Drosophila melanogaster: one gene and its partners. The protein of the gene in region 1 purifies or fractionates together with the protein of each later gene. This does not show direct contact. Each region holds a gene or a part of one and is shown in the gene's direction. Other genes may lie near its edges. The genes, in order: Fkbp14, CG8036, GstO3 and RhoGDI.

Region 1 (7,060 bases):
TCGTAGAGGAAATCGAAATTGACTATGGCATAGAAGATACTGATGTTTCAGAAGATGAAAGCCCAGCCTCTGAAAAGGTAAAGGAAGAACCTTCGGAATCCAAGAAAGGTGGTAAGAAAACGCCTAAGAAAAAAACCAAGGTGAAACCAAAACGGCAACCCAAAAGGAAAGCTGCCAGTAAGAGAAATGTTAAAAAGCAGAAGAGCATCAGTCGCGGTCCCTGGCAGAAATCCGCTTACAAGCTGTCCCACTACACGGACATGATGTCGACCCGTTTGCTGGACGTGTGGGATATGGAGGAGTACGACACCACACGAGACGTAACAAGAGAAATGTTCGATGAGCGTATAAAGGGGAAGGAGCTGGAACCTGAACAACGCATGGCCAATTGGTTGGAACAATTGCCCAGTCAGACAGTGGTACCCACTGAGGACGAGGTGACCGAGGGAAATCCCGACATGGTTCCCGGTACAAGTCTACCAAAGCTATATGGCGCCACTACAGCGAACTATTCAGTCATTCCAGCCCTTAATTCCGATCAGGACATCGGAGAGCGCCTTTTGAGTCCCAAAAAGGAATCGCCTGTTGAATTTGGCCGCGAGTATTCTATCTTGCTGCCCGGCCAGAATACTATCATCGAGGACTATCCCTGTGCCCCGCCAGCTAAGAGGCCCAAGGTTAAACACGTAAAGGGTTTCTAGCTTAAGTTAGAGTTGTTAACCTTAATTTAAATTTAACAAAAATAAATAGCAGATTATAAAGTATATTAAATAGAAGTAAGTAGATTTAGAATTTAGATTTCTGCCAACAATATTAAATGTTTTTTATTTTTTATTCGATTGCAATAATTTGAATAACACAACACACACTTCACATTAGCCCATCCCGAAAACTTTATTGCTTGTTATACTTGCCATTTTCGATTGATGTCACTGGTTGAGGATGTATCTCCACCAAGATCGGGTTCGTAGGCTGGATTCACGATTCCCTCGATGGGCTCGACCACAAAACGATCATTCCTGCGTTTGAGGGCGTATCCCACAGATCGTTTTGCCATTTTGGGCTTATCTTGATCGCCGTGCAGCATTATATTTCGCCCTTTTTTTTCCAACACGCCACACGACCGTTTAGAGAGTGCCTCAGATTTCGACTGATTTTCAATTAATTTGGGCAGTTTGCATTTAATTGATTGATTCGATCTATCTATCGCTCGTCGGCGCTCAGTGGGGCGTAAACGAGCCAAGGGTGACAATTCCATAGGAGTGGCCATAGATAGAATATATGCTTAGTTTAGTTTAAGCTAAGCTCGGTTGAGCTGAGCATCCAAAGCTTTTAGTTGGAAAAGATTATCTTGAACTAAATGCAGCGAACTATTGAATGCTATTGACGGGAACATTGGCATATTCACAGATACAATGCTGAAGCTCAGCTCCAAAAATTTATTGGGAATTAAAAAATTTTTAAATTGATTTTGACAACATATGTGCACACTTAATATTAATCGTTTTCATTATATCGTATCGTATTAATCTACCAGTGTACAAAATTATCAAGCACGGTTTAAAAATAAACTGTAATAAATTAAATTAGAGTATGAAAACAAAAGAAAATGTCACATAATTTTGCCGAATTTAATTCGCCAATCATTAAATTAACTCTTTATCAGGCTCCACCCACAAATAAAATAAAAGAGGCGCCTGCGCACTAGAAAAAGTAGGCGAGGCATAATGTTGCTTAAACTTTGATGCCAGCAACATGTAGACTACGGCATATTCTTTGGAAACTCCTTTTAGTTAAACTTGAGCAATTGCTTGAATAGGTTGTGTGTCCTTCGTGTTCCATATATTTTTCGTTTTTGTTACATTTTTCAAAACGATTATTAGCTTAATAAAAAATGAATAACTTTTTGGAATACATTTCGGTATTACATTGTTCCTGTAAGTTCTGATTAATCATAAATTTAAAGTTAAATTTTAAAAAATTAATCTTACATATTAACTAATTTATTTGGGATAAGGAACACCTTTGATTGTGTCTTAACCTAAGTCCGCCTGATCCGCTCCTGAACAAGTTTCTGCTTGATTACGTGGACAAGTGCTCTCTCTTATTCTGCCCCCCGTATTGTGGATCGCGTTCCCACAGTATGTGAATCTCTTTTGGCTCTACAAAAACACGATCTTTCACTCTCTCTCGTACTCTTACACGTGTGGATGGTGGTGGATCACGATCCCCCGCCTCCTCCCGCTCACACTTTCCGGGTCTCTCTGAAGATTTCCACTCTTTTTATATAGGGGTGCACCCAAAAAAAAGATAGGGAATATAATGAAAAAAACATTGAAATACAAAAAAAACTATAATCTTATGAAAAACTTGGAGGAATGCAATATATATAAATAAGATTTTAAACTAAACTACAAAATAATCTGGTCTAACTTGCAAAGTGCCACAAAAATGTTTCTGAGTGTAGAAGTAGCGGTTAGTAAAACAACGTCGGCGGCTTCGGTTCCAGCATTTCTCGCCCGCACTTCGATCGAATCGGACGTGTTTGCACTTCACATCCGCCGTTTGCTCGCGTGTTTTCTGTTGTTCGCCCGCCGCATCCGCCCCCGCCCCTTCGCCGGAATCGAGTGATATCCGTCTGTGGAAGACCAAAGGTATATTACAGATATCAGATCGTAAATCGTGTGCTTGGCTTAGCGTAAACATCTTGGAAATGTGCTCATTAAGAAATGAAAATCGAGAAATCGAAAGAAAGCGTGTACTTTGCCATTGCTGTCGTGTCTCTTCCATTCATATTCAGTCCACGCCATCACACATGCATACACAAATAAATATATATACACACACATACGCCCCAAGAAAACCGAATGATGGAGGAGGAGAAAGAGAGCTTATCGCTACAAGTCCATGAAAATAAAAATAAAAAAATATCGCCGGTCATTTGCTCTTGCTTTTGTTGCTAAAGATCGGCTCGGGTCAGCAATTAGCATTTCTGATTCGAAATAAGAGGAAAACTCCTGACGTGTCGCTTAGGAAAAGATTTTCCGAAACATTTAGCGCCGGTCTGTAAATTGGATCGCTTACGGTAAACTTCGTACCGCCAGTTCACTGAACCTTTCATAAAAGACACACAAAAAAAAAGCTGAAACAAAAAGATACGTGTGTAAACGAAGAAGCTGGATCGCCCAACAGGTTTTAAGGCCAAAAAGTGGACGCTCAGTACAGTGAAGCGGCTTCTGAAAAAAAAGATTTTGAAATATATTTGAAAATGTGATTTTAGGATTATTAGCCACAGGAGGCCATCTCGTCTTATCTATTTATAGTATTTGAAGTATTTCTAGTCCCTAAATCTGTGGATTTTCTGGCTTCAGCTTGGTCTTAACTGTAACAATTGCATATCATAGCATATGAACTTATTAGTGTAATTAATCATTTTCAAGCTTAAGCAAAAAAGTAAGGCATATGTGTGTTCATGTCTCTGAGATTTCACTGTATAAGGAAAAAGAAGCAGAAGCGAAAGAGAGCAGTTGAAGAGGAAGATCAAGAGATGTTAATGCCGATTTCACGTAATTGAGGCTTGACCATTGCCTTTCCATTAGTGAAAGTTTTCCGACTATATAAAGACCCACCATATTTTATTTTTTGTTTGCCTTATTAGTTTTTTTATTTTACGGCTATTCGAATTTTTTTCGCTTCTTTTTTTTTATATTTGGGTGACCTAGGCGCTTTCAAAACTTTCATTTAACCAGAAACACCCACCAACATATCCCATTGGAAATGACTACGATGGTCATTACGCATACGCCACCGCGTACGCGCAATAATTTCGCTTGGCTTTGGGTCTTGGCTTGCATAATCCCCTCCAGCTGGTCGAGATGGTCAAAGCTGGTTGGTTGGTCGAATTCGGTTCCCCACTCGAAAATGAATTGCACATTTGCATAATGACTAATTTTTGCTGTTCGCGCATCCCATTCGCAATCGCTGCGAATACCCCTCGCCATCCATACGATTTCAATTTCAACTTTACACTGTTGAGCAAACAACTGTTACACCTCTCCGGGTAATTGGCTTAAATTCATCATTTAACGCTTGTGCAACGCTAATACGCGATTAAAACGAAGATGATGGCGAGTAGATGATAGTGATGATGAATCTGTGTGTATAAAAGTGATGAACATCAATCCGAGCAAGACATTGGTGCTTCGGTTTAGTTTCGAGTTAGTGGATCTTATCGTCTGTAGTTCGAACTCAGTTAATTTTAAGGATTAGCAAATCTTAAACTCTTTATAAGGTTTACTATACTCCTTGTAGTCGAGTGCATAAACACGTTCCCCTTTTTTTGAAAGTCTCTTACGTTTTGTGGTAATCAAGTTTGCCCATTTATCTTGCAGCCATGTCGAAATCCAATCTCGTTATCTCGTGCCTTCTGCTGGTGGCCATCAGCAACAGCCTGGTCCGGGCTCAGGATCTGAAAGTGGAGGTGATCAGCACGCCGGAGGTGTGCGAACAAAAGTCCAAGAACGGCGATTCCCTCACCATGCACTACACTGGAACTCTGCAGGCCGATGGCAAGAAATTCGACTCGAGGTGAGTGATCTTAAAGTGTACAAAACTAAAATAGGCACACTTTGTTATCAATGAACTAAGCTAAATCCCATGCTAAAGTGATTATTTCACATTGCCCCAAAAACTTCGGCAGAATGTCAGAGAGTTCAGGATGAAATATTTTTAAAGCCGATGCTGTCCGTAATCTCCACACACACGCATCCATTGGAGATGCAGATTAACATACTCGCAGATACATGTGTTTTCCGTATGGGATTAAAGCTGCTGGTGCTGCATAGTCAGTCTGTCGTCGCGGCGGCTCATTGCCGTAAATTAGACGCCAACTGATAAGCGATCTCATTGTTGCATTGTCGCTGACGCTGTTGTTGTTGTTTTTTGCTTGTGCTGCTGGTGCATTTTCCATGCCTGAATGCCCCCCTTCTTCCTGCAACCCAAACTCAAACTCAAACCCATTTTCCCGCTTTTTGTTTCATTTTTCTGTGGGTTATGGGCGTTTATAGTGACGCGGCCCTCAATTTTTGGCTTCATTAAGCAAAGAAATCGTTTTCCGGTACAAATAAGATTCTTAAAAACCATTTAAAAATATTACCCATAAACAATTTGTTTTCAAACTATAGTTAGCTCTTAAGCAGTAGTTTCAATTAAAGAAAATGATAAGGCGCTACTTATTTTCTTATCTCAAATATTCTTTCTCATATTCAACCTTTGACTTTCTTGTAATAAATCCTGTAAATAAAAGCCACAGCGAAACTTGAGCTCCCAGCCCAGATAGCCATACAAAAAACCAATTAAATTTAAAGGATAACCAAATTATTTCACATGTGCGGCTAATTAACACCCCAAAGTGGGTTGTTTGCCACCAGGCAAACAAAAAATCTTTGTGTAACCGTTTGGCAAGCGGTAAAACTCATTATCAGTGTTTTATAAATATCAGCTGGGGCAAAAACTTGTCGATAAGCGACCTCAACTAGATTAACTAAACTGATATATTGTCCGTTGATTGCATATAAATAAAATATACGTTGAGTGTGAGGGCATTACTCCACCACTCTCTCTCTCAGTTATCAAATTTTGATTTAATTTTACGACCAGAAAATTGTGTTTCTCGCAGGGGAAACGATTTTATAAACGTCTGACTGACCCCAAGTATTTCAAATTGCCCCGGCTTAACCCGTTTTGTCATATGCTAAAAAGGGAAAACATTTCATTTTCCCATCCATCTCATTGGACATGTTGTGTCCTTTCACTTACCTTGAGTTTTGGTAGACAAATTTTGGTTGCAAATTATGTGGAAGTTGCAATTCGTCTCTTTCGGGGCTTAAAAGTTTCGCAATTGCTGTTAAATTTGGCGTGGCAAAGTCTCTGTGAGGCAGGAATGGCGGAGTTGGCCAACTAACTAACTCAATCAGAGTGCGTCCCCGTCTTTGCCGTTTTTCTCTCTGGCCTGCCACCTGTTGCGCTGCGGCTTAAATGCCCTCGAAGTTGGCTAACAAACAAGGCACTTTGTGCCAGTCAAGTGCAGTCAAGGATGTCGACAGGCGTCCTCCTCATTCGCCATCTTCTGTTCGCCTTGTGCGAGAAATCCTTTTCAGCCACTTCTTGCTTTTCAGCCTCAAGCTGCGAACACAGCTCCTTCTGCCATTTTCGGCTTCGGCTTTTGGCCAAACAGTCTCCGCCTTGCAGCGGAAATTAGCTGGCTGAAAGCCAGCTTCACTTGGCTATAATTAAGCTTTTGCCGGCAGAGCACCTGAAAAAATGGGTTTAAAACGAAGATGCGATGCTCCTTGAGAGAGAGATAAGTACGAAGATTTTGTTCTGCTTTTGACGGGTTTGTCGATGGAATTTCTTATTGAAATGCCAATCAAAATGAAAAACTGTCCTAAGCACACAAGCATAGGGAAACGGAAAACGAATATACGACTATACGTGCTTAATTGATATTAAAATGGATTACAACCTACTTGGTTGGCCATAAAAGAAACTCTACTATATTTCGGACAATTACAAATATACCCCCAACTGCCCTCATCCCTTTGCATTTTATACTCGTAACTAATTCAATAATGAGGACCAGGACCAGAGCTGGAGTCCTGTCACGTGCCTGCCGCCTTTTATCTCCATTGTCCCTTGGTTAGGGATCCAACTGGCGGAGGAGTCCATCATGTCTACCTGTCATAGCCATACCCGGGTCACGTGCAGCCACAGTTTGTCAATGACTTTGGTCCGCACTCCACATCTTCATTAGAATTTCGCGACGCGGCGCCTCCCGTTTTTGTGGCAACAAGTTGAGCTCCACTTTTGACCCGCAGACCTTCTTTTGGCCGCATAAATTATGCAGCCTTTCGTCGCTATATTCTAATCAGCCTGACGCGTAACATGACTACACTGCTCCCTTTCACCTGCTATGATATATGTATACTAGTATGCCCCCCATCACAAGATTTTCATGTGCGCTGTGTCACTTTTCCGGGGAAATTAATTTGTTACTTGAGTT
Region 2 (10,362 bases), on another chromosome or scaffold:
AGCCGGGGATCAGCCGCAAACTTCAGGGAATAATACCAACGTTAAGATCGTGATCATTGGAGCTGGAATGGCTGGCCTATCGGCTGCAAATCACCTTTTGCAAAACGGCTGTGACGATTTCCTTATTCTGGAGGCACGGGGCCGGGTGGGCGGACGCATTGTGTCCATACCGCTCAGCAATAATCAGAAGGTACCATTTGTTATATAACCCCCTCAAGTCCAAAAACCAAAACAAACCATCATAGGCGACCATATGGTATTAAAGGAAAAACACTTCCGACTCGGAAAAACCACGAGCATGTTGTAACACATTCTTCGCCCCAGCCAGTTGATTATAGATTTTTCCACGGACTGCGCAGTCGGTCAGCTGTTCACGCTTTTCATTAAAGCTATTTTTATACATGTTCCTGTTCCCTCTATTTGCCTATTGTTAGCTTTATTTGTTACATATGCTTACATGGGGGTAATTAATGTAATTGCATCTGTCGTGAATCTTACTCACGATTTTCATTCCGTTCATTAGCATAGTTTTGATCGGTTTGGCGGCACCTTATCAAGAAATTTGTTATACAACTTTCTTCGGCAACGTTTGTCAGATTAGATAGGGGTTTTCTGAATTAAGCCAATGATGACGTATCTAGTGCAATGCCCTGAAAAACTCACGGGTTTGCGGGCTAACGATCACGTAGTCTTAGTTATGGGACTGAAAAATTTATTATTTTTCCAGTTTTCCACATTGTTTCACTTCACATGTACTAATTACGCCCCTAAATTATCTAATATAGGTCAGTTCTTATCTTTTTTATACTAGAAAGTTAAATGTTAAGCTTTGCCTACTTATCTGAGATGTTCCTATTTAAACACTTCTATTTCACAGATAGAACTTGGCGCCAACTGGATACACGGCGTTCTGGGCAATCCCATCTTTGAGCTGGCCGTACAACATGGTCTAGTCAGCGTGGTCAACGTACCGAAACCGCACAAGGTGGTGGCCACCACGGAGGACGGGCACCAGGTGCCTTTTAACATACTTCAGGAGATCTACGAGGCGTACGTCTGCTTTCTGAGGCGGTGCGATGAGTATTTCCTGTGTCAGTACAGCCCGCCGCCGGATATACACAGCGTGGGAGAGCACATTAACTATGAGATCGAAATCTATCTGAGCGGGGTCCAGGATCCCAAGGAAAAACGCCTCAAGCAATCCATATTTAACTGCCTGCTCAAGCGAGAGACCTGCATTACCGGCTGCAACAACATGGACGAGGTGGATCTCCTCGAACTTGGTAAGGCTAAGCTAAAAATAAAGTATATACAATATGAATATATATTTTATTTTAGGCAGCTACACTGAGCTACAAGGAGGCAATATAGTGTTGCCAACTGGTTATAGCTCTATTCTGCGACCGCTGGGTGCTCAGATAGCCAAGCAGTCCATACTGACCAAATGCCCGGTGAAGAAAATCCACTGGAAGCGGAAAAAGACCTTCACTGGGCTGGAGACAGTCGACGAGAACTCGGAGGACGAGCATTCAGACGACTCTGAACGAACGGTGACGGAAGTGCCGACGGGGGAAATTCGTGGCGCCTCCGTGGAGTCCAACACCAGCAGCAATTGTGATTATCCTGCAGGCAACGTGCGCATAGATTGCGAGGACGGTCGAGTGTTCCATGCAGCCCATGTGATATGCACCATACCGCTAGGCGTACTGAAAAACACCCATCGCACTCTCTTCGATCCTGTGCTGCCGCAGTACAAACAGGAGTCCATCGAGAATCTCATGTTCGGCACCGTGGACAAGATCTTCTTGGAGTACGAGCGACCATTCCTCAGTGCCGATATATCAGAGATTATGCTATTGTGGGACGACGATAAGCGGGATATGAACAGCTCCGAGGAGGAGCTGGCCAGCGAAGCGTATCTCAGCAAGAATTGGTTCAAGAAGATATATTCGTTTGCCAAGGTGACGGACACGCTGCTCTTGGGCTGGGTCTCGGGCCGGGAGGCGGAGTACATGGAGAAGCTCGACCATGAGGCAGTGGCTGAAAAGTGTACGGAAATACTTAGGAACTTTCTGCAGGATCCTTACGTGCCCAAGCCAAAGCGATGTGTTTGGTAAGGCAAAGAAACATTATTTGGTTAAGAATGTTGTATATTAAAGAAAAATCTATTTGTAGTACCAGTTGGAAGTCGCAGGACTTCACCGGTGGCGCATACACCTCAATACCGGTGGGCGCAACTCAGGAGGACATCGAGAACCTCGCCCAGCCCCTCTATGCCACGCCCCAAGCCATGAAGGTCAGTTCTACAAGCTTGCTTCCCCGGCAATTGTTCACATTTTAATATATTTCCCCAGCCCGCCATAGTCTTTGCCGGAGAGCACACCCATTCCAGTTTCTACTCTACCGTACACGGCGCCTATTTGAGCGGACGGACGGCAGCGCAGCATTTGCTGGCGAGCGATGAGCCAGACGAAATCATCATGGAGTCGGACGGCAGTGATCTGAGCGCCTGGATACAGGGCATTGCCCTGGACTGAGTCTAAGCTAATCAACGACCACTCATCGATTTTGTATTATAATTTATTAACGTTATTTTGTACACTCTTTAAACGCTTTTTAGCTAGTGATATTTAATTTGTTCGATTGTAATTTATTTTGCTAGCGTCGTAAAACGATTTAACTCATTTTTGTACATCCCTTGTGAGCATTTGTTTTATTTTGTTGATGCAATTATTTTGTAATTTATTTGGAACCCGCTTGTACATTACTATAAATAAAAGTTACGAATTAGCTGAGCTGATCAATGTGCTGCCAACTCGAACAGACCGTGCACCCGCAGCAGCTTTCACTGTACTTGGACGAAAAAGTGTGCACAAAGACATAATGTTGTTTAGACCTAATTACCGATTAGCAACCATAAGTGTATGAATACAAATATATTGCCTATTTTTATAAATTCGTATTTAACGTAGAAAAGGTTGCACCAAAAGGTTGACACTAAGACGATCGAACAATGAGTGCAACTAATGTATATTTGAAAGTAACTATTGTTAACGTTAACTATTTTGCTAACTAAATTATGCATTGGTTGACTCTTTAAGGCGGAAAAGGAAAAGTTGGTATTCATAAGTCCGTTCTAACACTTGGATCTGCATATTTATTTGTATTTGTGACAAAAATATCGACTTGTACGCATAAATAAATAAATTAAATAAATAAATTATTGAATGAAAATGTATAATTTTAAATAGTAAAACACAAGTCGAAGAAAGTTTTGATTTTTTAACGATGGGGAGAGATCTGTATTATAAAAATCAAGTTGTGCTTTTGGTTTTAGGCCAACAAAAGTCTATAATTCAAAACATATGTAGATATCCTAAATTATTTGAAAGTCTTTCGCATTGCACTCGTAAATTTTTTGTGGATACATTTACTCGAACTTAGCTAAGGTGTGGTAAAAAAGCTAATAAGGATAAGGTAGGTGGAAATGAAAAGGATTGACTAAGCTGAATTCAAGAATGCATTAAAAATGGCTTGTAAAAAATTCGACAAAAAATCCTTCGAGCCGGATTTGAACCAGCGACCTATGGATTTCTATTGCATGTTTTCCAACTACAGTCCACCGCTCTACCAACTGAGCTATCGAAGGGGGCGTGCTGGGGAGTAGGTTAAACAACGGGTATCCGATTCATCGCGACTCTTCAATAAACTTTTGTTGGTAATCGGTTTAATTAATGCGTATTTTAGCTTTTAATGGATTGAGGTCACGGACAGCATATGCCATGTCGTTCAAATACCTTTTCTTTTGATTGTTGCTAAGCTAAAATTAAATAATATATTGATGTACGCGTAAAGTAAGACATGTTCATTTTCACGTGTTTTTAAAATTGATATTCTTCAAATTATTATTCATTTTATATAACATTGTGTTTATAAAATGTCTTTTGCATCTACATGTTTATAATTGCATACTATTTTATATATTTTTTATGGGGTACGGGTGCTACTATAAAAACAAAAACGAATTGGATATTACAAAAAATTACAAAAAATCCTTCGAGCCGGATTTGAACCAGCGACCTATGGATTTCTATTGCATAATTTTCCAACTACAGTCCACCGCTCTACCAACTGAGCTATCGAAGGTTGAGTTCAAACTTGGCCGTTGTTCGTTTTATGCATGCGCACAAACGAAATGCACCGTATTTGGTTATTTATTTTTGATTTTTACTTATTTAGGTCAAACAAAATTGATCAACTTTCTCTATTCAGTCCATTGCAGTAAGCCTATAGTTTCCAAGCCTAATAGCCTAGGCGCTTTTCACAAACTATATCAATTTAGTTACGGTTTATTTCTTCCAAATAAAATCCTTCTTATATTATTTAGTTTAAACAGCTCAGTTATATTCTGAATGTCTGTAGATGAATTAAATTGATTTAAATTGTGCACTACAAAATATATAAAAAAAAAGGTATGTGCACTACAAAATATATAAAAAAAAGGTATTTATATCTTTTCGATCCTTCGAGCCGGATTTGAACCAGCGACCTATGGATTTCTATTGCATGTTTTTCCAACTACAGTCCACCGCTCTACCAACTGAGCTATCGAAGGTTAAATTCGCTTGCGGCTAATTCACCTTTTGTTCAGGAGCGAGGTGGGGAAAGTGACAAAAAGAGAGGGCACTTCTCTTAAACACCGCTGCTCTTTAATACTCGCGGCCAGAAAAATAGGACCTTAAATTCTTGTAAACTTATATTAAATACTAAAGCATTGTAAATCTTAATGAGAAAATATTCAGGTACAACTGTTCATGGCTTAATTTTAGACCAAAATTGTGCATGAATTTAGAAAGGCAGCAATGCACTATTTGAAACTAACTAGTTACCCACCCACAGCTGTGCACCGATAAAGGGGTGGTGTGCGAGCAAAGATGCCATATTTATACATATATCCATCTCGTTCCAGCGCCGACGATAGACGATACCGATACTTTGCGAGTCCGCTCCCAAGATTGAGCCCCCACAGCGTAAAAGCGACCGAAGTGCCGGCGACGAGAGCAGTTCGTTCCCAGAAGCCGGCAGCAGTGGTCCGTTGATAACTCCGACTCGAGCTACTTATCCACCACGTCGATACTCTTGTCTGTCTATTGCAAACATAGAGGAGTCACCCTTTGGCTAACGAATCCGAAACTCCCGAGTTTTGTTGTGCAACATATCAAAAACCGCATTTGTTCGGATCCAATTTACATTCGCATTTCAAAGATGTCGTACCACAAGCCCGAAGCTAAGACCGTCCAGGATCTGAAAGATCTGGCCCAGAAACTGCGAATTCACTCTATCAACGCCACCCAGGCCTCCAAATCGGGGTAAGTTTATCAATAACTGAAAGTCCATAGGCATATTAAAGTGTGCGTATTTAGATTTGTTTGTGTAGATGTGAATTTTAAAAGTTGTGCACCTTGCACTTGTTGCTTCAAAGGTGACCCCCTCCATTTCCAGGGTGGGTGCGAAAAAGTTTTTGAGGGGGCTGCTAAATACATACATACATATGTATGTGTTTTGAAACATTACAAAAGAAAATAAAACAAAAATAGTTACGCATATACATAGTTATGCATCTATGTTTGTATGAATGTGAGAAGTAAAATATGGGAAGACCGGTTCCTTTAGTGACCCCTCCTGGGATTCAGTTGCCAACCCACGTGTTGTCCAGTAGCTTTAGTGAATTTGCGAATTTGTTGCCCTGCCTGCGTGCTCAGTGATAAGCCGCGTTCACCTACCTTAAATTGTGAGCTAATATTTTTTGACCTTAGACAACCTTGAAACGTTAGGTTTTTCTTACTGCCTTTTAATTTCTTTTGCTTTTGTTTTGTGCGTGGCGTTCAAAACGCCGAAAGCACATACATATGTACATGGGGTAAAAACAAACATACTTACATATCAAACAGAGGCATTTAATATACGTATGTACATATGTACATACAAGTGTTGGAAAGCACAGCTTGTGACGGGAGTGGAATTGGAAAGAGAGGGATGAGAATAGTAATGGAATGATCCCCTACACTTGAGATTTACGACTGTATGGCTTTTAATGTAATTATATCTCGGATAGACGCGATCAAATTATTACTGCAACAGTAAATAAAAAAGTTACTATGCTGATAAGGAAAACACTTTTATCGCCTCCATTAGTTTTTCCATTCTGTTTCGTTTTTTTTTTTTTTTGTGACGGTTCAAGATAAGATCTGCTCTGTTTGCTCTAAATGTGACCTCTGCCGACGAGATAAGCCCGGTTTGGTTACTCATTGACCACGATATGACCGATTAGAGGTGACCAGCTCAAGTGTGTTCCCCGCATGATAATCGAAAATCACTGAAAACTGATAAAAAAAAAAAAAGCGCGCCGGGTCACTGCTAACACTCCGTATCACCTTCAATAGTTCTTGATATGGCTGCAGGAAACGGGGACGCACTTCGGAACTATCTAGAAGCACGTGCGTTCACAAAGATCGCCATGCAACACAATCGTGGAAGCCAAGAATTTGGTTTTTAAGGCTATTATTTAGGTTTTTTGGTGATCAGAAAAGTTCAAGGTCCCAGAAACCGGTGAGGAATTGCGATGGACTCACGTCGCGACAAACACACATATCACACCATATAACGCCAATAAATACATATGCATGTACTCGTTATAGTTTATTTATATGTCTGGGGTAAGACGAGCCCCCCATTTTGTCTGGGGTTGCGTGTTTTCTTTGCGGTTGGAGTTGTGCCAGATCTGCGATTCAAAGCAATTTTTTTTGGAACACGATCGCATGGGAACATTGAATTCCAAGAATGGATCTTATCTTATTTATATGTACATTGCAATTGGATACTCGAGAAATCTTCATTTGAAATATGAACAGAGGGGGGGGGGGGGGTTTAAATAAAAGCTTCAATAGACAAATGGATTTCTTTTATTAAACAACGTTTTTAACAAGTATGCACAGTGTTCAGTTCCACTTTTCCTTTGTTGATCGGCCTTCACTTACCCACCGTGAGGTCGACTTCTATAATTCATTAGGCACTTACCTTAACCTAGAACTACATGCAAACGAAATGCCTTGTCACAATCTAATATTTTGCCTACTTTTCCCTCTTTATAGCCATCCCACATCATGTGCCTCGATCGCTGAGATCATGTCCGTGCTGTTCTTCCAGCAGCTGCGCCTGAACCTGAAGCACCCACGCGATCCCTCCAGCGATCGCTTCATCCTGTCCAAAGGACACGCTGCTCCCATTCTGTATGCCGCCTGGGCTGAGGCTGGTCTCTTCCCCATCGCGGATCTGAACAACCTGCGCAAGATCGACAGCGATCTGGAGGGTCACCCGACGCCTCGTCTGAACTTCATCGATGTGGGCACTGGATCCCTGGGACAGGGTGTCGCCGTCGGCGCTGGCATGGCCTATGTGGGCAAGAACTTCGACAAGGCCGACTACCGCACCTACGTGGTGGTGGGTGATGGTGAGTCCGCCGAGGGTTCCATCTGGGAGTCGCTGCACTTTGCCGGCCACTATAAACTGGACAACCTTTGCGTGATCTTTGATGTGAACCGCTTGGGCCAGTCGGAGGCCACCTCCCTGCAGCATAAGCTGGATGTTTACCGTGATCGTCTGGAGGCCTTCGGCTTTAATGCCGTCGTTGTCGATGGTCATGATGTCGAGGAATTGAGCAAGGCTTTCCATTGTGCTGCAATCACCAAGAACAAGCCCACCGCCATCATTGCAAAGACGTTCAAGGGCAGGGACTTCCCCAACATCGAGGATTTGGACAACTGGCACGGCAAGCCACTGGGCGACAAGGCCGCCGAAGTGGTGAAGCATCTGGAGGGACTGATTGTCAACAAGAACGTCAAGCTGACCCCTAAGCCGGTGCCCAAGACTGGTGCTGCTCCCGACGTGGACATCAACAACATTAAGTTGAGCTCGCCACCCGCCTACAAGCTGGGTGATTCCATTGCCACCCGTTTGGCCTATGGAACAGCTCTGGCCAAGATTGGCCAGAACAACCTGCGTGTTGTTGCCCTAGACGGAGACACCAAGAACTCAACTTTCTCCGACAAGCTGAAGAACCTCGACCCGCAGCGCTACATTGAGTGCTTCATCGCTGAGCAGAATCTTGTGGGAGTGGCCGTTGGAGCCGCCTGCCGTCGCCGCACTGTGGCCTTTGTGTCCACCTTTGCCACCTTCTTCACCCGTGCCTTCGATCAGATCCGTATGGGCGCCATCTCGCAGACGAACGTTAACTTTGTGGGCTCCCACTGCGGCTGCAGTATCGGTGAGGATGGTCCTTCGCAGATGGGTCTGGAGGACATTGCCATGTTCCGCACCATTCCGGGCAGCACCATCTTCTATCCCTCCGATGCAGTGAGCACGGAGCGTGCCGTCGAACTGGCCGCCAACACCAAGGGTGTCTGCTTCATCCGTACGTCCCGTCCCAACACCTGTGTGATCTACGACAACGAGGAACCCTTCACCATTGGCCGCGGCAAGGTGGTGCGCCAAAAGAGCTCCGACGAGGTGCTTCTGATCGGAGCTGGAATCACTTTGTACGAGTGCCTGGCTGCCGCCGATCAGCTGGAGAAGAACTGCATCACCGTCCGTGTGATCGATCCGTTCACCGTGAAGCCATTGGACGCCGAGCTGATCATCGAGCACGGCAAGCAGTGCGGAGGACGCGTAGTCGTCGTGGAGGATCACTACCAGTAAGTGTTCTTTGTAGTCTTTTTATTTGCCTCCTTTGCTAACTTGAAATTTACTTAATTTCTTATAGGCAAGGAGGCCTGGGTGAAGCTGTGCTGAGTGCCCTGGCTGGCGAGCGCAACTTCGTTGTCAAGCACTTGTACGTGCCCACCGTGCCACGTTCGGGTCCTCCGTCGGTACTCATCGATATGTTCGGCATCTCCGCACGTCACGTCGTCAACGCCGTTAACGAGATCCTCAAGGATTAGGGGACCAGTCGTGATCTGGCTACATTCATTTACCGCCTACAGGAATTCCCCCAGTTACTACTTACTTCCAATATTACCATTCCCTCTAAGATTGTTAATTGCTTCATTGATTTGAACCTTACATCATGGAAATAAAATATCTTTAATAAAAATAGTTAAGCCGAACTATATACCTTATTTACATATTATATTACTTATTTACTATATTACTTATTACATGTTAAGCATGCCTTTAAAATGGCTGGACGATTTCATTGCGTTTGCCTTTGGTTTGCTTTAGACTTGCTTTGGTTTGTTTTTAGTTTGCTGTGGTTTTGCTTTGGTTTATCTCTGGATTTGCTATGCGCTTGATGTTGATTTGACATAGATACTGAAATAAAGATAAGATGAGAAAATGAATAAAATTATAAATTTTTTAAATTTAAGCATACTGCATACTTTTTTAATTTACAAATTTTTAATATTTTTCTAAAAAAAATCGGAGCTTAAAACTAACAAGTTGGCAGTACCCTTCCAATTATAAAGGGTTATCGATAACTCTGCTGTAGCTATCGGTGCTGCCAGCTGATTATAGTGCGGCATGATTATCTAAACATCAATTTGTTTCAGCCGATCCCGAAAACTATTCAAAATGAACTTAAGCACAAGAGTTATGCTGAATAGGTTGACACAGCAGTGTGTCTACAAGCGGATTGGTAAGGAGAGACGTTTTATCTTGTGCCACACATTCAGGAAACGTATTTTCAGTGACCTTCTCCACCAAAACTGCGGAACATGTAATTGAAAATCAGGAGGAACAGAAGAAAGAGGCTCCGCCAACCACGCCGACTTCACCGGTGAACCGGAAGACAATCATTCCGGCCAATTATCGGTTTGTTTACCCAGAATTCCTGCCCGATCCGAAGGTGGAGTGGCGCAACCTCGTGCGCGAGAAGCTGGAGCGACTGGACATGCTGGATCGCCGCAAACAGATCGACCTGCCCGAGTTCTACGTTGGATCTGTGCTTGCGGTGACAAGTTCGGATCCCCATGCCGCTGGCAAAACCAGTCGATTTGTGGGTATCTGTATCAATAGGGATCGCTGTGGACTGCGCGCCCGTTTCATTCTTCGCAACGTGATTGATCACCAGGGAATGGAGGTGGTCTACGAGCTGTATGATCCTACCATCCTAAAGATCGAGGTGTTGCGGCTAGAGAAGCGACTGGATGACAGTCTTTTCTACCTGCGGGACGCTCTTCCGGAGTACAGTACTTTTGATGAGAACATGGAGGCCGAGCCGCTCGAGGAGGGTGCTCCGGTGCCGGTGAACGACATTAAGGTGGTGCTCCGTCCGCGTCCATGGCTGGAGCGCTGGGAACGACAGAA
Region 3 (6,054 bases), on another chromosome or scaffold:
TCGCTTTGGATCACCACCACCTGTCGTCACACCACAGCCACCTGAATCACCATAATCCCCAGCAGCAGTTTCGTGGACTTGGTGCCTCCGTGATGCCCAAGGACTCGCCTGTGATCATTAAGTCACCCAAATTGGCCGCCCACACAGGACTACTAACCGTCGCGAGCAGCAGCAAGTTGGGCATTTCCGTCAACAAGGAGGTGGCCATCGATCCGGAGGACAAATGCTGTTTCGCGGCACCCGGTCAGTTGGAGTCGCAGTCTCACCCACCACCACCAACCACCACAACGACAACAGTAGGAGGAGGAGGAGGATCAGTTGGAGGTTCAGGTGCCCCGCCATCGCAGCCCATTTCCATTTGCACGGAGGTGGGCTGCAGCAGTTGTCCCCTGACCGCCGGACCAGGTGCTGACCAAGCGGAGACCACGCTGCGGCGGACAGAGTACGAGGAGCAGGCACTTCGTGAGCGGAACGAGGTGGGCCTGGTCTTCGAGCGACGTCTGAGGAGGGAGAGCGCATGCGAAAGATGTGAGTAAGAGTACTCAGCACAGCTGCTAATGATGACTAATCCCATGTTTTATTCCCCTCAGCTCGGGACTACTATGAAGCACCACACTTTGAGCACGTGGTATCCTCTCGCCTGGCAGCCACACCTCCGCCACCACCACAGCAGGCACCACCATCACATCCGCCGACCCTTCGACATCCGCACAACTTCCTCACCATCAAACAGGAGCCGACCGACTGGAGCAACAACCCACCAAACGCCTCCAGTGCGTCCAACAACAACAATCTGGAGGAGTTGCCATTGGCTTCGCCCAAGCAGCCACTCGACTTCAAGATGTCCGCCGTGAAGCTGGAGGTGAATAGGGATCGCGGAACACCCTCCGAGGAGAGCGAGGAGCACACGCTGCGCGACTATAACAACTTCAAGCAGCTGCTGGTCTGCGAGATCTGTCAGAAGTCCTTCGAGGACACCAAAATGCTGGTCCGTCACCTGGGCACACATGCCGGCGATCCCACGGGCGGCACGGAGAGGAATCTCCTGCCATCCAGTGCCAGCGGGAGCACCACATCCGCCTCCAGCAACCTCGCCCTGCGATCTGTTAAAACCTATGTGCCAAAGAAACGACGTCGCGTTTCGGTGAGTACTTGGACAGCAACTCATCCCTTTAATAAATCCAAATCTACTGAAGTATGATTTTAACTCGTAGTGATGATCGGTTACCAATATCTATTGGATGTATTAAAACCAGATTATATATTGTGTTTTTCAGCAACAGGAGAACAATATGGATCACGATCACGTAACTCTGCTCTGCGATTTGTGTTCCACGTAAGTGTTTGGAGTTATAGAAGCAAAATATATACTAACTCCCTTTCCCATGTGCAGATCCTTTGATACGCCGGCGGAGTGGGTGCGCCACATGAACAGCCAGCACACGGAGATCGAGTTGGCCATGTTCAACAGCAAGAAGGATGGCGAGCAGAAGGGGTGTGTGTCCTAAGGGCTAGCAAAAGCACACTGATGAACTCTGTTCACTTGCAGCCAGCAGCCACCGCCACCGCCGGCGACCAGCAGCTCTTCCACAGTGTCCAACAGCCAAATGCAGCCAAAGTATCCCAGCTCCACCGCCACCAGATCGACGCACTCCCTCATGCTGCACAAGATGAGCAACAGCGATGCAGTGGCCACAACCACATCTCCTGGAGCATCCACCTCACCGAATGGCTAAGGCCAGCCATAGGGATCAACTTCAAAGAACCATTGGACCATTGGCGAATGAAGCTGAAGGATTCGAAACCGGATGCCCATGGATAAATTTGAAAACAGCCATATTCTTCATTCATTTTCAAAAATCTCAAGTCGTTCCAATAATCAAAAGTGAGATGGATGTTTATATGCAACAGCAAGAACCGTGATCAAAATGCAACCAGTTTGCATATTTTATAGAGCAACAAACAAAATACAAATTGCGAACAAAAAAAAATTAACGAAACTATAAACGAAACTTAGAATGGAAATCGTCAGGCAACGATGCAAAACAAGACAAAGCAAGAAATTCAGAAACGAAAGCAAAGCAACATTTAACTCCAGTGTGTAGAATTTTTTTAAGTGTACGTATTTACTTAGTTTTAGCTATTTATCCCATGTATTTACCGTAACAACAACGCGCAATTGATTCGGGAAAAAAAACGATACAGTTTAATCATTAAATTTTAATGTTTACCATTTGCGGACATTTTTAAAATGAATTAAAAACTAAAAATTAATCATCCACTTGAGTTTTCAAAAGGATGCATCAAAAGAAATCCCATTTGTAGGACCAAAAGCAGCGAAAGGATCTTTTTACATTTTGATAAACAATTAATTCCAGCAGCAAGTGTAGTTGTCATTATTTATTACTTTCCAATTTGGTTTTTCGAATGCAATTACTGATAACAACTATTTATCGCGACTCAATGATGTCAGCAACTCTGTTGTATATGTATTAATACTTTTTTGTATTTTTTGTAAGGCATGAACGGAAATTTCGAGAACTTTTTTGTACATAGATTAAGTTTGATTTCGAAAGTCCGCCGATCGAAACTTTTTACGAAAAGTTCATAAACTTAAAACTCTAAATGTACGTAGTAGTTCCGAGGTTCAATTAAAAACAAAAATAAAGCTCCCCCCAAACCATGTAAAAACAAAATATATCTATATTTACAAACAGGCGTGATTATTAACAAACTAAGTAGATGTACTATGTATAATGCGGAGGAAATGATTGTCTCTTCCCACAAAACAAATCGCAAATGTAGTAAAGCGTTTTAAATCGAAATAAACGTCTGCGATGAGAAATCGTTTTTAAAAGCTAACGAAAACTAAGAGTCACGTCGCAAAAAGCTCGATTATTCTTATTCGCGTTAAAACACAAACAAAAAACTTTATATAAACAGAGCGCCGTCGAAGAGAAAACTCAGTTCGCATTTCACCGTCGACATTTCAACAGTTAAGCGAATTTGTTCAGTTCTGCAATTAAACAAAATGAGTTCTGGTAAACATTTGGCCAAAGGTAAGAGAGCAAGCAAAACCAGTTGTCGCCGCCGCCAAGAGAAACGCCCATGTCATTAGAGTGTTTATAGTATTATTTATAAAACAAGTTCTCCAACATTCAGCGTAATTATCGAATAACGATTTTTATATTTCATAATGTTAAAGAATATTGGCATGAATAACTGGGATTTTTTGGTTAAAAAGTTAGAAAGGTATATTATTTGGTAAATTTCAATACGATCTTTATTCTTTTACAATTGTAGGTAATGCATTAAATTAATTATTTGATTTGTAAAATTTACTTACATTTTTAGCTATAGCTTTCACCCCGATATCAGATAACCCATAATATTTACACTCTAAAAGATAACGTAGCTACAAAATTTGAGCTTTATCACGACTGGGCCCTATCAACATTAACTTAAGTGCAATGACTTGCTAAACAAATAATAATACAGGGGTGGATTTTAGGGTTCCACAAGTGACTCATGAAGTTATTGATTTATTTGTATAACCTAAATTTAACTGGTAAATAAATTCTATCTTTAGGTTCCCCCAAGCCTGTACTCCCTGACGATGGAGTCCTTCGCCTGTACTCCATGAGGTTCTGTCCCTACGCTCAGCGGGCTCATCTCGTCCTGAACGCCAAGAATGTGCCCTATCACAGTGTCTACATCAATCTCACCGAGAAACCAGAGTGGCTGGTGGAAGTGAGTCCGTTGCTTAAGGTGCCTGCCCTGCAGCTGGTGGCGGAGAAGGGTGAGCCCTCGCTCATCGAGTCGCTGATTATTGCCGAGTATCTGGACGATAAGTACCCGGAGAATCCGTTGCTGCCCAAGGACCCATTGAAGCGGGCACAGGACAAGATTCTGCTGGAACGTTTCAGCAGCATCACCAGTGCCTTCATAAACATCCTTGTGCAGGGCACCGGTCTGGAGGATTACTGGACGGCACTTGATATCTTTGAGGAGGAGTTGACCAAGCGGGGCACCCCATATTTTGGCGGCAACAAGCCGGGATTCGTGGACTACATGATCTGGCCCTGGTTCGAACGCCTCTCTGTAATCGAGTTGAAGTTGCAGAAGGAGTACAACTTCAACGAGAGTCGTTTCCCGAAGATCACCAAGTGGATTGCCCTCCTGAAGGCGGACTCGGTGGTGCAGTCCTTCTATGCCACTCCCGAGCAGCACAACGAGTTCTGGCGCACCCGCAAGGCCGGCAATGCAAACTACGATCTGCTGGCTTAGATCGGTACTGAAAATGAAACTATTATATAACAAAGGAGATTTAATAATGTTCTAAAAACAATAAAAACTAAAATATTTTATGTGACAAAGAAATGAATTAAGGCTAGAAAGGCAAGAATTCCGTTCCAGATTCACAGAACGTGGTTCGAAAAACTTAGTTCTTAAAAAGTTTTGTTTTAAACAAATATTTTGGAGCAATATGCAGGTTGCAAGGGGGCTTCACTGTATCCACATGGCTTGGTATGTGTGTCAGCCGCAAGCCACCAAGTTCAGCCGCGTAAGCGAAGCCAACCGGCGAAGGGCAGTGAGCTGCACTTTATAAATCACTCGAATGACAATCGCTATCACCACTTGCATCTCTGGACCCGAGCACGCACATCATGAGTAACGGCAGGCATTTGGCAAAAGGTGGGTAGAGCCAGGAAACCAGGATAATCATAATTGATAATAAATGCGCCCACTAGGCTCACCCATGCCGGATGTTCCCGAAGATGGTATCCTTCGCCTGTACTCGATGCGCTTCTGCCCATTTGCCCAACGGGTGCATCTGGTCCTGGACGCCAAGCAGATCCCGTATCACAGCATCTACATTAATCTCACAGACAAGCCGGAGTGGCTGCTGGAGAAGAATCCACAGGGCAAGGTGCCGGCTCTAGAAATCGTGCGAGAACCTGGACCACCTGTGCTCACAGAGTCGCTACTGATTTGTGAATATCTGGACGAGCAGTATCCATTGCGACCACTCTATCCACGTGATCCGCTGAAGAAAGTGCAGGACAAGTTACTAATCGAGCGATTTAGAGCGGTGTTAGGTGCCTTCTTCAAGGCATCCGATGGCGGTGATCTGGAGCCCTTCTGGAGCGGCCTGGACATCTACGAAAGGGAGCTGGCTCGACGTGGTACGGAATTCTTTGGTGGCGAGCAGACGGGCATTCTGGACTATATGATTTGGCCCTGGTGTGAGCGCCTCGAGCTCCTTAAGTTGCAGCGTGGAGAGGATTATAACTACGATCAGAGTCGCTTCCCCCAGCTGGTGAGCAGGTCCGTGTATCCCAGGAGTGATGAAGTACATTAGTATACCATTTTTCAGACCCTTTGGCTGGAACGCATGAAACGAGATCCGGCTGTGATGGCCTTCTACATGGAGGCCGAGGTTCAGGCGGAGTTCCTGCGTACACGGAGCCTGGGTCGACCCAATTACAATCTGCTGGTCAAGGATGCCTGATGCACTTGGTTTATTGAATTTTTCGCATGGAATGAATAAAACATAAATGCAGTCCATAACCGGTTCCAAAGATTTGATCTTGTCTAAACCAGTTGTCGTTCTATGGTGTACCCTTGAAGGCAATGTCGTACTGGGGATTTCCAAGGGTCTTCGATTTCTGGAACTCAGCATGCAACTGGACATCCAAAGCTGTCTTCTGCACAACCTCATCCTGGGTCATCAAATCGCGCCACTTGAGCTGTAATGGATTTTTGATGAGATACATGCATCATCTTATGTTGGATTACTTAAACATACCAGCTTCTCAAATCGTTTTGTATCCAGCTCATACTTTTGCTCCGTATTGATCTTCATGCTGGGAAAACGTTCGAACCAAGGCCAAATCATGTAGTCCACGATTCCAATGTGCTGGCCGGCAAAGTAGGGCGTTCCTCTTTTGCCCAACTCCACTTCAAAAACATCCAAGGCATTCTCGAAGTTCGGTATGGCATCTTTCGGAGCGTTGGGATTACAAGTCAGCACAGGATAAATGGCACTGACCA
Region 4 (8,714 bases), on another chromosome or scaffold:
GCGATTGGTTCGGCCATCTGCATGCAAAGATGTGTACATTGCATTCATAATAATAATCTAAATTAATTATAACAATAAATCAATAAAACTATATGTGTATTTAAGGTCTTTACATAAACGAGAGTTCAATTTCTTCAAAAGTATGAAAAGGAAAAGGCAGCAATGTTCAAAAATCAAGACTATTTTTTTTTTTGGTTTGCTAAGAAAACAATTTATTTGATGTATTATAGCAAATACTTACACAATTTTATTAGCAGAAAAGTTATTTGCTGCAAAATAAATGAAGTAAAGATCGTTAGAAGTATTTTAGAATTCCATTTAAACAAACTTGCAGATTGAGTCACTTGTGCAAATGATATTCACATGGATTTTTGGACATTAATGGCAGCAAAATCACTAGAACAACTTTTTTTTTTAAATGCTAGTAGCAAAATAATTGTGACTTACGGCGACGATTTGTTTTAAGGGCATTTAGAATTGCATATATAAGCGGTTAAAAAGAAAGGACAAGAGCAACTTAATTGATAAGCATTTAAGGCAACGACTACGTATAACTAATTTGGTAGGCACCTCGTCTGAAAGTACTTCTCATCGACGAAGCGACAGAACTCGACCAAGTGCTGGAACTTCTGCACCGTTTGGGCCAGCGCCATGTTCGGCAGCGTGGTGGTCAGAATGCTGAAGAGGTGGCCGAAGGCGATGGCGTCCAGTTCGCAGGGCTGATCGCCGTAGAAGAATGGCGTTTCCGGCGACTCTTTCAGCTTGTATTCGAGCGTCTCACAGCACTTGGCCACCTTGTCAATGACGCTATCGATGTCCAGGTCGTCCCACTGATAGACCTTCAACAGACGCAGCGCGTTCCGCCGCTTTCCATAGTTCTGCATGTGATTGAGGGGCCAGGGAAAAACGACTCCGTTCCTGGGCGCTGTGACCTCTTTGTAGACGCGTTCGTTCTTGAAGCTAATGTACAGCTCAGCCATGGTGAAGATGTTCTCCACCAGCGACACATAGGTGCGCATGTCGGCCTTCTCGTCCTCGTCCTGCCAGCTGCCAATGGCCAGTTCCTTCTGCTCCACAAAGTTCACGATCGGCTCGAATTCGGCAAAGATGAATGCTCCTGCGCGGATGAAGGGCAACTTGGTCATCCTGCCGCCCGGCGACATGTGCTCCGCGTTGGCACAGGACCGAATCAAAAAGGGGAGGTTGCACATCTTCAGGTAAGCCTTCACAGCAAGGCAACTGGCGTTTTCCGGCAGTAGGATCTGTTCCGCTTCATACGGCTGTTTTTTTTAATGCACATTAATGAAAGGTTAATGTTAGTGAAGATTCTGGACCTATAAACCAGGACCTTACCTGGTAGAGGGTGGCGTCTTCGGGCCAGGGCTCGGCGGACAATTTGTCGGCCGTTATTAGCTGGCTCAGGTACTGGGATGTCATTGTAAATTAACGGAGTAAATTGTGTTTTTCAACTTGCACACCGAAATCGCCGATGAAGTAACAAGCAGCTGTTTGTCGGCGTTGCCAGACTGTTGCAGACAATGACCAAACAGCGATTCTTATTAGAAATTGCATTTCAGCAAGATTCGTTAAACTAATTAATAATTTCTTTTTAAACCCATACTTACAAAGTATAAAATAGATTTAGGGGAAGCTGTTTCAAAACTAAAAACTTTTTCGAAAAGCAAGTATTTTTGGACAGCAGTGTGAACGGATGACTTCTTCAAGTCCATCTCGCGTTTTGGTATTCTGTCCACCAAAGCATACGTTCACACTTGTAATTCTTATTTTATATTATTTGCTTTGTTTAAAAGTTAGTTATCAAAAGTTGTTAAAAATATAACATACAGTTACTTTTCAGTGATTAATTTTCAGAGATCGTACTATTTGATTAATTTCGCATATTAAAAGGTGAGTGCGCGTCGTTGCCAACTTGCAACTGTGTGTGTGTGTGAGTGCGGTGCCTTCCAATGCATTTTACATAAAAAAAATATTTATAATATTATTATATTAATTTAATACAAGCTGGCATTGATAGCAAATGTATGTAGTTGGGTGACTGCAGGCCAAGAACCACTCCCAAAAATTCTACTTGAAAATCAGTGACGATTCATGTGCCGGCCTCAGTGTGAGTGTGTGTGTGTGTGAGCTGGTGTGTGTGATTCATTCGTCTGGGGTTTTAACATTCTTCGTGCACATTTCTTTATCAAAAAAAGAGAAGAAAAAAAAGTGGCATGGTTCGTACTTTTCCCTGAATTATCCCCACACTTTGTCTTTGGCGGGGGGTCCTCTCTCTCTCTCTCTCTCTCTCTCTCTCTGGCAAGCCCTCTCGCTTGCACTTCCTTCGACGCTGGCACATTTGTTTGGAATTCAAATTTTCAGTTCGGTCAGATTGTTCTTGAAATTACCTTTTCTCACCCATCCTTAATTGTTGCGATTGTATTTATTGGCCCAAACTTGCGTTGTTAGTCCGAAAATTTTTTGTTTATTATTTTTTGCCATTCCCACACAAGCACGGAGAGAAATTGTGAGTGCTTTTCATATGCCTAATTTGGAAATATTACGATGAGATCTAAAAACCGATACTAAGATTCAAACTATTGATTTTTAAGCACCAATAATATTTACATTTACAAGTAAAAAACAGATAGATAGATAGATAAATATTTATTAGCTTTGAGAATTTCAAAATATGTTTTGTATAAAATTGAGAAATACATCATTATTACTACTGTATGTACACATGGGCCTGCAAAATCGTTTTGTATAGACACAATTTTATTACCTCAACAACAACTCGATGTCAAGTAATAACAATTCAATTTCATGTATTTTTTTTGCCCGGGTACACTGCATATGTATGTACATATATATAAAGCCAAATCTGGAGAATCGAGAATTATTATTGGCCCAACAACATTCGTTGAAAATGGACAGAGAGCTGGCGACGTGTATTTAGATAGTGGAAAACAAAGCAAGATAACAATAAAGCCATTTTCCGGGGGGCGGTGGGTTTGGCTTTTTGTCGCCAGTTCCCAGTTCTGGTCAATATTATTCAATGCCGATATCCGCTCTCTCTCCCTCCGTCGAGTTCGCCTGCCTTATCTAACTGCCGCTCCGTATTTGGTTGAACCTTTTTTTTTACTTTGCGAGCGGACCAGCTGCAGGTCGAGCGCCCCTCTCTGCCCCGCCCCCTAGACAGAGAACACGTCAGTTCATCAATGCGTTAATAATTGAAATTTAATCAATATTATTGAACGGGCTTATGAAGTGGCTACATTTGTTCGCAACGGAGGCACTCGTGTTGCCAAAAAAGTAAATAAACCCGCTTTATGGCCAGCGAATGATAACGTAATCAGTAGCGAAGTATATGGAATATGTTTGCGATCGTTGTTATTTGAATTTCAATATTTAACATTGTAATTTGTAGAAACAAATGTACTAACTACTCAACTATATATTTAGATGGCAGGTTTTTTTTTCGAATTTCTTCCCTGCATTGTTAAGTTATGAGCTCAACTCTCCTTAGGGCGACAATTTTCAGAAGAAAAAACACTCTTCCTACATTTTTTGAATGAGGAATACTTTCATACACTCCGATACGATGTAGCAGATATGGTGGCGCACATGCCATTAAAATGGAGGCATATACATATGTGTATAAAACAACATCATTATCGTCAAAATGTTACTCACACTACTAAAAATATGCCTATGACCCACAAGCTTCACCCAGAGAAACCGACGCATACTAAGCAAAATCCGAAGCAATATTTAAATGTAATTGATTGATAAACAAACAATTGCCTTTGGACAGTTCTAGGTTAGCAATCATGGCCGAAACAGAGACGAAGCACCATCCCGAGCACCACGACGACGATGTCCACGATGCCAACTACCAGGCGCCGCCGGAGAAGACCATCGAGGAAATAATGGCCGCCGATCAGGAGGATGAGAGCTTGCGGCGCTACAAGGAGGCGCTCCTGGGTGCCGCCCAGACCGAGAAAATTATTGTTGGTAAGGGGCGGTTAACTTGGCCTCTGAAAGTGGAGGGTGCAGAATATACTAAAGCAATAACATTTTTACCCAGAACCCAATGATCCCCGAAAAGTTATTGTAAAGAAACTGGCCCTCGTTGTCGAAGGACGCGACGACATGGAATTGGATCTTACCGGTGACCTTAGTCAGCTGAAAAAGCAGGTAAATATCATTAACCATCATCATCCATTCGACTACTTTTGTTAATCAAAACCCTATTGCGACAGCTTTTTGTGATCAAAGAAGGTGTTCAGTACAAGGTGCGCATTGATTTTATTGTGCAGCGTGAAATAGTCCATGGCCTTAAGTATGTTCAAAAGACTTCTCGCTTGGGTGTTAATGGTGAGTATTTAAACATGACATTTGTATTTTTAATTGGCAGAATATAGAATAGATTTACACTCTCAATTCTATCAACATTATATGTCTTTACTTAGGGCAAAGCAATTATATTTCTTTTTTGTCCTACCCTAATTTTCTATTAATTGATTTATTTATTTACTGACCTAGTGCCCTAGTATTGTAAGAATAAAATTAAATTAAAACCGGGTCAAAAGATACTTGTTTTTAGTTATTTTCCATACGTTACACTATGCGAGCACTTCTAGGTCTTCAATTTTCCGTGCTGACGCGAAATCGTTAGTATTACACCTCAGTTTTTGATTGACTTTTGTGCGGGCTAGTCGAGTTTTGTTTCTAGCAATGGGTAAAAGCTGGTTCAATGGCACAACCATACTGGTGGGATTTTGCAGTGCTGCCTATATCCTTTTTTTCACAATTGCCATACTAACTTTAGTCATGTGTTGAGAATAACTTGTATTCCATTATCTCCAATGCCAAACCCTAATTTCGGAATGTATAATTTTTTAAGTTGTGGGTAAGCTGGTGCAGCCCATCCGCAAATGTGTATCCTTACTAAACTGACTGTTTTCGCATTACTCCATAGTTGACAAGATGAAGCATATGGTTGGCTCCTATCCGCCGAAGAAGGAGATTCAGTTCTATTTGACGCCCGCCGAGGAGGCACCTTCAGGCACATTCTCCCGCGGCACCTACTCGGTCAGTTCGGTCTTCACGGATGACGACAAGCACATACACCTGGAGTGGGACTGGACCTTTGAGATCAAAAAGGACTGGGCCTAATTGGCACACCGAACAGCACACAACAAACACACACGACACACAACTTACAACATACATCATACGCTTTTTGTTTTCCCTCAAACATGCCTTGTAAATGAGTTTAGTTTTGTTCCAAAAGTGTAAGCGAATTTTTCCAAAAGTGTAATTGATCGTCAAGTATTTTTGTTAACGGTATTAAATTTTAAATATTTTTGTAACTAAAGTGTAATGTAAAGCCATGATAAGTATTTTTGATACCCTATTTGCAATTGGAATGTGTGCAGATGAAGAGCATTTTTCGCCTAAGTCCTCCTCAATGAGAGTCAAGTCAAAACCAAGTCAAGTCACTAGGCCAGTCAGTCAGTCAGTCAGCCAACCAGTCAGTCAGACAGTCAGTCGTTTGGTTCTTAATGCCATTGCCTATGTTTAACATACATTTTCAAACAGATTAACAATTGAGTAATTAACTTTAAGAAAGTTGTTTGCATTTCGCTGTGTATTTCAAATTGAAGAATGGAATAGTTTATTGTAAGAACAAGTCGCCTCAAAACTAAAAAGAAACCGATTAAAATCGTGCAACACGAACTGTTAAATGCAACTAAAGCTGATGCTTTATTATGCATTTGAAGTTTGTGCAACATGGAGTTACTTAAATCCACATTATTCTAACTATATATCTCTGTGTATTTTTTGTGTACAACATACCATATATGCGAAAGCTGATTGAATGCAACCGAAGAGCAATAAAGAATAAAGGATACATATTTTAAAATAAATGCCTAAGTGAGCGAATTCTTTTTCCATGATATGGGTATCCCATAAATTATAGTGGCAGTGTGTGCACAGATTTCTCCGTAGCCAAAGATAAGTTGACTTCACACTTTATAATGCTTATCAGCTTACATTGCCAAGGGGCAAACGTCATAAATTGTGGCCAGCAGAGCGAGTATTACTCATCCGCCCTGTGAACGGTCACCAAATATTTTTCAAGGTGTACAAAAGAGAGAATTTGTGAAACACACTTCTCTGTTTACATTCGCAACCAGCAACAAGTGGCCAGCCTCTTGTTGCGCCAGACATTAGCAGCATGTTGCCCAACAATCGCCGCTTCAGAACAGAAAATAATAATAACCGCATTTTATATTCCAACGCACATTTGTCTTCAGAGTCGCGAAAACCTGCATGAATAAGCAAGTTACTTTTTCGGAAATTGCTATAGTTGCCAGCAGAAAAATGGTGTAATTTAAGAAAAACAAATCATTTGTGTTTTCGGTAAATGGCCTGGGGCATTCGTATGTTTTTTGGGGTCCTTTAAGGGTGCGATTTTCCAGGATGTGGAACAAAACAATCAGAAAAATAAGTACACACTGTTTTCATTACGTGAGAAGTAATTACAGGTAAGCAACTAACAAAAACTTACATGTATACATAAGAGAAGTCTTGCTTGTTTCGCCATTTTCATATATTTCCTCATAGCAAAAAATTATATATACTATATCTTTTAATTCACTCAAATGGTTTAGCAGATATATGTCTTTTGGTATGGCCGTTCAGCTCGACTACTCTTAACATTACCTTTGAAATACCAATATTTTTGCATCAAACAGGAACGTCTATCTCTGTCCGTCGAGGATGTTTTGATTGACAGACGGCCCGTCGAATTTCAGCCTTCAATCGCATTGTTCAATCCGACATTCCAACATTCCGCACTCCCCATTGTGTGGCAATGTGGCCTTTTGGCCCAATGCTGCCAATTGTCCCGCCGCTGCACCTTTATGGTCCATTGCATCCGGGCTGGGGCTCAATGAAATTTGCAGCAAAGCTGCTGAGCCAATGGAAAAAACAGGAGCCGTCCAGAATGCGGATAATAAAGTAGAAATGAAATGCAATCAAAGAGCAGGCCAGAAAGCGCAACAGGCAAAGTGCTCACACAGCACACGCAAGCGGAAATGCGAATGGTGGCCATTTTGTCCCCGTGTAGGTAGGCAGTGCTGCTAACGGTACCTTGTTGTTATTTTACACTGAGAGAAATGAATGCTCGCTTAAATCAAATTGTTGAATATTACTATATTCATTATTCATTATGTCTTATGTAATAATACTTATGATATTTAGAAAGAAACTTCATTTGGTTTATTCAAGTGTAAAACCTTTTATATTTTTTAACATTTTTTTAAATAAATAAATTTTGTATTTTTTTTCGAATTCATCCCCATCACTAGCACTAGGATTATTGGCATCTGTTCCACTGGAAAAGCCATGAAATGCAGCTGATGTCAAGCCGCACAGGCATCGCTGTAAAAATGCATATTTAATCTCTACAAATGGCTATATGTATGCACAGCTTTTATAGCCGCTAATGGGATTTATGTGTTTGCATTTATGCAATTTGCCCATTGGCATGATTTTAAAAAATATATATTTAACTGTTTTACATATTCTTATCCTGTTTCTCCTGGTTAACAAGATTTAATAATTTTCACACAGCAAACGGCAAAACGGACAACACAGCATTTGTCCACAAAATATGGCATATACATATGTATATAGTAGTCAAATGTGGCAAAATTAAACTTCCTTTGTTCGAAATTCAATTAATTTCATTTTAGATCTCATGTATGGGCATGCACCTTTATTGAATACCTTTTTGCTTCTATGGCAAGTTTTTGCTAAGCCCATTTAAGCATAATTAAATCCAACAAAGATTTGGCAACTTTTCGGTTTCTGCTGGCCTCTAATTTCATATGCGGGTCAGCACACGGAGCAACGTGCGAAACTTTCATCCTGTTCCCAGCCAAAAGGGGCCAACGTAGCGTATGATGAATTTTATTGCACACTCGCAGTGGGCTGTCTGTGGAAAATATATAGAAAGCACCAAGGGGGGCGGCTATTGTTTTTATTATTACGTTTTCTTCTTATGTCTATATAAACCTGTTAGTTATCAGTCCCAAATTAGTGGTTGAATAAGGTGTTCTGAAAATTGTGGTTTAATTAAGTGTTGTGTTTTTGTTAGCTTGAAACCGCACTAATTATATTTCATTTAAATTTTGTTTAAAAAACCTACTTCTTACTTTTATTACGTCACATGCTCCTCCCCCTCGCCAGGCAAGTGTAATAAAAAAGTTTCTATGGCTTTAATACTTTTCGTGGCTTTAAGTGAGCACACGCAAGTTGGCAAGTTGGTTTAAAGGGGAGTGTCGAACACGTCAGAAAACTCTGGAGTTAGTCATCAGATTTGTGCGTGGCCGACAGGACATAAAACCAAACTCAAACCCCCCACCACAATTGGCATATATTTTTTTCCAAAGCTCTGCGTTTTTCGCCACCGGACAGCGAAAATAATTTGCGTATATATTGAATTTGTTGTTTTTTTTTTAGTTGATGCTTTTTTTCTGATGGAGATTCGCTGCAAAGTTGGCCAGGAAATTGCATGATTTCTGAATATATTTATTCGAACGGGCTTGCGGTGGTTAGCTCATTTACATTTTGGCATTGATTTTTGATATTGGCCATCCAAGTTTGTTGCTCCAAATGTTAAATATAGCAATATATTATTT

What was found.
Region 2: the proteins of Fkbp14 (region 1) and CG8036 purify together in Drosophila melanogaster (affinity purification with mass spectrometry, with the first as the bait; one large-scale study listed by BioGRID). This does not show direct contact.
Region 3: the proteins of Fkbp14 (region 1) and GstO3 purify together in Drosophila melanogaster (affinity purification with mass spectrometry, with the first as the bait; one large-scale study listed by BioGRID). This does not show direct contact.
Region 4: the proteins of Fkbp14 (region 1) and RhoGDI purify together in Drosophila melanogaster (affinity purification with mass spectrometry, with the first as the bait; one large-scale study listed by BioGRID). This does not show direct contact.

Annotation. Positions count from the first base shown.
Region 1 is NT_033778.4:21,492,658-21,499,717, reverse strand, and holds the start of Fkbp14 (FK506-binding protein 14), read left to right. Parts: upstream 1-2,507; 5' UTR 2,508-2,654; intron 2,655-2,943; exon of another isoform or gene 2,944-3,085; intron 3,086-4,193; exon of another isoform or gene 4,194-4,391; 5' UTR 4,392-4,393; coding exon 4,394-4,587; intron 4,588-7,060. Other genes in the region: TAF1C-like (TATA box-binding protein-associated factor RNA polymerase I subunit C-like), read left to right, coding at 1-701; CG46395 (uncharacterized protein), read right to left, coding at 905-1,087.
Region 2 is NT_033777.3:8,664,560-8,674,921, forward strand, and holds CG8036 (uncharacterized protein), read left to right. Parts: upstream 1-3,308; 5' UTR 3,309-3,477; intron 3,478-3,556; exon of another isoform or gene 3,557-3,649; intron 3,650-4,052; exon of another isoform or gene 4,053-4,146; intron 4,147-4,521; exon of another isoform or gene 4,522-4,615; intron 4,616-4,969; 5' UTR 4,970-5,265; coding exon 5,266-5,369; intron 5,370-5,940; exon of another isoform or gene 5,941-6,346; intron 6,347-7,151; coding exon 7,152-8,750; intron 8,751-8,818; coding exon 8,819-8,996; 3' UTR 8,997-9,143; downstream 9,144-10,362. Other genes in the region: CG8032 (uncharacterized protein), read left to right, coding at 1-190, 878-1,283, 1,339-2,113, 2,176-2,296, 2,355-2,537; mRpL19 (mitochondrial ribosomal protein L19), read left to right, coding at 9,628-9,691, 9,744-10,362.
Region 3 is NT_037436.4:8,515,923-8,521,976, forward strand, and holds GstO3 (glutathione S transferase O3), read left to right. Parts: upstream 1-2,962; 5' UTR 2,963-3,031; coding exon 3,032-3,059; intron 3,060-3,589; coding exon 3,590-4,287; 3' UTR 4,288-4,373; downstream 4,374-6,054. Other genes in the region: CG6765 (uncharacterized protein), read left to right, coding at 1-528, 591-1,144, 1,278-1,336, 1,394-1,495, 1,550-1,736; se (sepia), read left to right, coding at 4,668-4,695, 4,752-5,320, 5,378-5,512; GstO2 (glutathione S transferase O2), read right to left, coding at 5,613-5,750, 5,810-6,054.
Region 4 is NT_037436.4:19,927,001-19,935,714, forward strand, and holds RhoGDI (RhoGDI), read left to right. Parts: upstream 1-1,742; 5' UTR 1,743-1,908; intron 1,909-3,814; 5' UTR 3,815-3,830; coding exon 3,831-4,014; intron 4,015-4,087; coding exon 4,088-4,197; intron 4,198-4,262; coding exon 4,263-4,377; intron 4,378-4,690; exon of another isoform or gene 4,691-4,737; coding exon of another isoform or gene 4,738-4,842; exon of another isoform or gene 4,843-4,912; intron 4,913-4,981; coding exon 4,982-5,178; 3' UTR 5,179-5,930; downstream 5,931-8,714. Other genes in the region: CG8004 (uncharacterized protein), read right to left, coding at 555-1,280, 1,354-1,437; CG46462 (uncharacterized protein), read left to right, coding at 4,738-4,842.